Linked DNA regions of Kluyveromyces lactis. The protein of the gene in region 2 purifies or fractionates together with the protein of the main gene of each other region. This does not show direct contact. Links are inferred from orthologs where the notes say so. Each region holds a gene or a part of one and is shown on either strand. Other genes may lie near its edges. The genes, in order: QCR2 and QCR6.

Region 1 (3,134 bases), on a different chromosome or scaffold from region 2:
CAAATGTATCATTTATTATTTTTTATTCTGTCTGTAATCTATGATATTCTTTCCACTTGCTAGTTCTCAATAATATGTTAACTGATATTTGTTCAGAGATATATACTTCAATAAATAAGTGATAAGTTTCTAAGATGATATGTGAAAATAAAAATAGGTTCGGCAAGAAGACACACTACGTATTAAACCAACGTTCTTGCAATATCACCACAACCTCTGTTTGATTGTTTTTCTTAAGAGCAGTGATGGGGATTGTATGAATCAACAGAACTGTTGAATTTGATCAGTGGCTTCTGCACATTTCAAAAGATTAAGATATTGACGGGTTCTCTTTTAACATCACCAGTTTTTCCAAAGGTTAAAGGTGTTCTTTTGAATCTTAGAGAGTTTTGTTTTTGAATTTTATTGGTTTCTTTTAGGTTGCAATGTTTCCAAAAGCCACGAAAGGTAAAAGATAATAAAAAATATGTACAATAGAAATGTAATATCGTTTCTAAACATTTCAGTGATGTGATTCTGTCATCTCTCATGAATATGTGTGTTTGTTTGTTGTTTTTTTTTCAGTTTTAAAGTACTATGTGTGTAACTTTGGCTAGTAGGAGAAAGGTTAAAATCTGTGAGTTATTTTTAACTGTGATGAAATTTACAATTCATCAGCGAAAGGTAGCTTAGCGACGTTACCTACAGCGGCGTAAGAGAATTTGTCCAACTTGACATTCTTGACATTAGAGACATCGATTGGAGCGTTTTCCAAAGATAATTGCAAGGCAGTGTATTCCTTAGCAGCTGAAATGTCGACATCCTTCTTCAAGGTATCAACGACCTTCTTTATGTTTTCAGCAACGACAGAAGCATCCTCACCCTTGACGTATAAAGAGAACAAGCCGGCATTAGCGTACTTGTCTAACTTAGCTGAGTCAATTAATGGAGACAATTCGGACAAAGCAGAGGTTAGGTACTTAGCCAAGACTTCGTAGGTAGCGAACTGTTCCTTAGTAACTGGAACAGCGATAGCGGCAACGGAGGCACCTGGAGCACTTAATCTGGCTTCACCGGAGAAGAACTTTGGTTGAGCTTGAGCAGCCAACTTGGAGCCAGTTGGTAAAGAACCAATCAAAGAGTCGTTGACAAATCTCTTCAAGTCAGCTTCGTTGACACCTTGACCAACAATTTCAATGTTTTCCTTGGTGTAGACCTTGTTGGCATAAGCCTTGATATCATCCAAGGTGACCTTCTCGACACCTCTGTATAGAACTGTGTTACCTAAGTCCTTTCTGAAAGAGACATTGTAAAGTAAGTCTTCGGCCTTGTTGATTGGGTTAGTTTCAGAAACGGAAATGTCGTACTTAGCAGCTGGCAAGACAGATTCTGGTAATTCGTGGGGTCTGAAACTGGTCTTGTACAAAACGTTACCCAAAGCGTTAACGAAGTATGGAAGATCTTCCTTCAAGAAAGTAGCCTTCAAAGTGATGTATTCTCTGTCAACACTGGATTCGAACTTACCACCCAACAATTCACTTTCTCTAACCAATCTCAAAGCAGACTTGTTACCGGTGTTATGGAAGTTGAATCTGGACAAAAGGTGGGCAATACCTTCTTTGTCGGCGTAACGAGAACCACCGTGAACCTTAACAGCCAAAGTGGATAGTTTACCGGAACCGTCTTTAGCGGAAATACTGAATTTTCTAGCAGTTTGCTGGGCAAATTGTAATCTACTGGACAACATCTTTATATTATATGTTTATGGGCTTTTTAATTTTGGGAGTCAGAATATCAATCAATATCAATATCAATTATGCGTTAATCAAAAGGTCTTCCTCTACTTTTCCTTTAATGTCCAAACTCAAATAATATTTACTCACACACAAAATAAGTATCGAAACAGAGCAAAAAAAGTACACTGACAGAGTAACGAGTAAAACAAAGTAATCAAAATAGTATATCAATCACAAATCTTTACAAAACCTGTAATCAAAACCAATCTTCAAACAAAAAGCTCTAAACTTTGAAGTAGAATTGTCATATTTTGTTATAAATTTTTCAAGAACCTATTGAATAAAGCTATATGCGATAAAATCCAATAACTAACAAAAAAAAAAAAAATTGAAAAAAAAAAGATATTTCGAGATGTGAAGACTGATCTCTACAGAGGAATCAGAGAAGAAGCGAGCTGATTCTGTAGAAAGGAGAAGCGTGCTTAGACCATCTTGGAGTCACAGTAAGAAGGGGATATCGGGTTTTAGCGGAACGTACTGGGAGTGAGAGGGAACAGACAGGAATCGCGTAATGCACTGTGAAAGGGTATTGGTAAACCATTTGAAGAAAAAATGGTTGGACACGGTTCTTAGAAATGATTGGTTCGTGAGTGATGAGATGTCACGTGACACAGAAACACAAAAGTCACGTGGTTGTGACCACGTGACTTACAATAATGTTGCCTGTTTCTTTCGATCTTCTTGAAAGACCCATCCATTCGTATTGAAAGAAAAAAAAAATCTATCAATTGAATTGATCTCATCTCATCTCATCGCATACATGCATGACTACTGCAACAAGGTGGCTCGACTGTAGAAAAGGTAGGAAAATAAACAATTGTTATTGCAAGCACTGACATGAGTGCTGCCCAAGCTGCCCTGATCCCCGATGCGGCTGTTCCAAATGGTGGTGCAAGTGTTGTATCAGCCGCAGAACCATCCACATCCACATCACCAGAACCAATCGATATCTCTTCATTAGAGCAGAGAACTCTTAACCCAGATTCGTTTTTATACTCTGAACTTGCCAGATCCCATCTTGGTGAAAGAGCCAGTACTGTTCTATCCGTGTTGGTCAACAAAGGAAGACTCTCCACGAGAGAAATTCATTCTTTCATACCAGAACTTTCGTTGTCCAGTATTAAAACCGTTTTGGTCAGTTTGATTCAATTAAGATGCGTACAATATTTGGAAGAAACCTCACTCTCTGGTCGTAAGACCCTTTATTACTACTTTAACGAAGAAGGTTTGTTCCTTATGTTATATGCGGGTGACATCAGCGACAGAATTGTTCAATATTTCAACCAGGATGAGGAGCAACACTTGGTCAACATCGCACAACAAATTATTCATAACGTTCTCGCCCTTGGATCACTTACC
Region 2 (2,652 bases):
TGGAAACAATTAACATATCTTGATCCCAATTTTTTATTGAAAGGAAAGGGTCAGTAAAATGATACCATATTACTCCTCTCTTTCCTTCTATTTGCAATGCCATGGGTGTTGAGAAAGGTTATTTTCTTAATTCTTTTGAGAAAAAAGAGGAAGAAAACCGAATCTAGTAGTAATAATAATAATAATAATAATAAAATAATGGTAGTGGAGTAGTCTCTTCTTCTGAATTTTTTTGGTACAGTTCTTCAAATTGATTCCAGATACCCTTCGATCTGTGATTCCTTCACTTTTTTGTTTCTTATTTTTAAATTTTAAGTTTATTGTGTTTCTAAGTCAATAATTCATAATAGTATGGGATGGATTGTGTGGTTGTTTGGAATTGAAAAGAAAACTCTACTTATTTCCTCAAATTGCAAGGGGGAACCTTAGGTGATTACGATAAGCTGAAACATCTTTTTCGCTTTTAAATTCTTTTAGAGATTGAATGTTGAAATATGTGTTAAGTATAACGGTTGATTTTTTGAACAGGACTGAAATAAAGGTTAGAAAAAAGTAGAATATGAACTCTCCTTTTCCATTTGCATTTATATTGATGAAATGGGATATCTCTTTTATTTCAAGTAATCGAACAGTTTTGGAGCAGCGCATTCATCCACGAAATGTGCCAAGTGGAAGAATTCTTCCACACAGTCCTCCTTGTATGCCAAATCTTCATAGCCTGGTTCTTCTTGTGCCTTTTGAACTCTTTCGACACATTCCAGATAATGATGAACCAAGTGCTTACCTTCTTCGGTAGATTTACATTCTTCTCTCAAAGCATCTAATTGATCACCTTGTTCTTCTTCTTCATCTTCATCGTCTTCATCTTCGTCATCTTCTTCCTCTTCTTCATCTTCTTCAACGTCGTCTTCAGCCTTGGCCACAGTTGGCACGAAAGCATCCTTTAATTCTTCCAAGTAAGCAGTAATAGAGGAAATCATTCTGTTCTCTTATAATATGTGTGTGTATGTTAATTTAAAATTGATAGTTTCAAAAAGGACAGGGAAATTCTAGTATCGAGTAAAATCAAAATACAACGAATAAATATGAATAAAGCCCAAAGTTTGTGAATGTATTGGTTGTATTATTGTTCTTATGAATATTTTATTCTGTGTATATCAAACAAAATAAAATAAAATAAAATCAAAACTGGATGTAATAGAATAAAACCAAATACCCGACGTATTAGTTACTTGATACCGTATTGAACCGAAAAGAAAACTTATAAAACCTAGTTAAACAACTTATGAATTGGAGCTAACCTAACAAAAATATGATATAACCGAAGTAATGTGAACTGAATATTATATCGATTGATTGATAGATATATTATAATTAAAATCGAAATATGAAATTTTTCATACTTTAAACTAAAAAAAAAAATATCGAAGGTCAAAAAAAAAAATTACGCAGAAATCAACGTATCAATGTGGAAGCATATAACGGAAACTCTACATATAGATAACCGATAAAATTCAAGGTTTAAACTGCACACGAATTAAGAGAGCTTGGATAGGGTTTGATTCTGAGCGGTTTTGGTGCTTGTTTGGCACCTTAGTCAATTGCTGGAGTCGCAGGAACGGACTATTTCCCTGCCCAAATTGGCCGGCCAATGAAATAATCGATGCTGGAAATGTTTATGTTATCCAGCCTTTGTACTGCCGTTTCAGTTGCGACATTGTATCGGTCATCACATTGTACGACGAATAAACAGGCTCTTTCCTCTTGAAATCTTACTTGTTGAGAGAACCAACAGCCGCTGTGGGCATAGGGGAGCCGCTAGAGGCTCCCGCACTGAGTCTGGCTTTTTTCGGAAGGAATAGCTATTAAAGGCGATCTGTGTCACACACGACGGTAGATTGTGATTGGTTCGTCGATAGTGATGGATGACATTTTATTTGCACGTGATACATAATTATCTATGATGTAAAGCAACTGAAAATATCATATCACGTGGTTTAAGGGTAAGAAACACTATAGATACATTTATACAGGCACAGAGAGAGAAAGATGTCTGTACTCACTGGTTGGAGTTTGCCTTCAACAATTGACGGATATACTGGGCAGCCAGCTCGACTGTGGTAGCTTTGGATGGGATTGCCGCCACGTCTTTGAGTTCCTTTGGAATCAAGGACTCAAGATCCTTCAATGCATTGTTCAATCTGTTTCTTCTTCCTTGTTCTGCTACTTTATGCACTTGCTTTTGCTTCTTTACCACGTCGTCATCATCATCGTCTTCTTCGTCACGTTCGTTTTCACGGTCAGCGTCAGCGTCATTTTCGTCATCCTCACTAGAGGATTTAGGTTTCTGAGAAGATCGATTTGATCCTCTTAATGAGGTTCGTCTTCCAGGCACGGATCTTGTTCTGCCGTTACTCTTCACAGAGGAATTTGAACTTGAAGCTGATGGTGCAGTAAGAGCTGGTGCAGTTGTTGCAGTGGTACCTGATGTAGATGTTGTAGAATTAGAATTAGCATTAATCGTGGGTGAAGTTGTTGTAGAACCATTATTTTTCTTTAGTTTCGTATTAGAACCGTTACTCGATGAGTTTGTATTGTTGAAACCTTGTTTCTGTACCGTAGGCGATTGCTTTTGATTGTTTTCACCTCCTG

What was found.
Region 1: the proteins of QCR6 (region 2) and QCR2 purify together in Saccharomyces cerevisiae (affinity purification with western blotting; 3 studies listed by BioGRID, with this or other methods). This does not show direct contact. The link is inferred for Kluyveromyces lactis from reciprocal best matches to the Saccharomyces cerevisiae genes QCR6 and QCR2.

The regions. Positions count from the first base shown.
Region 1 is NC_006038.1:323,128-326,261, reverse strand, and holds QCR2 (ubiquinol--cytochrome-c reductase subunit 2), read right to left. Parts: upstream 1,727-3,134; coding exon 644-1,726; downstream 1-643. Other genes in the region: RPC82 (DNA-directed RNA polymerase III subunit C82), read left to right, coding at 2,613-3,134. UniProt on the Saccharomyces cerevisiae protein: Component of the ubiquinol-cytochrome c oxidoreductase, a multisubunit transmembrane complex that is part of the mitochondrial electron transport chain which drives oxidative phosphorylation.
Region 2 is NC_006040.1:1,355,445-1,358,096, forward strand, and holds QCR6 (ubiquinol--cytochrome-c reductase subunit 6), read right to left. Parts: upstream 981-2,652; coding exon 612-980; downstream 1-611. Other genes in the region: phosphate-sensing transcription factor PHO4, read right to left, coding at 2,060-2,652. UniProt on the Saccharomyces cerevisiae protein: Component of the ubiquinol-cytochrome c oxidoreductase, a multisubunit transmembrane complex that is part of the mitochondrial electron transport chain which drives oxidative phosphorylation.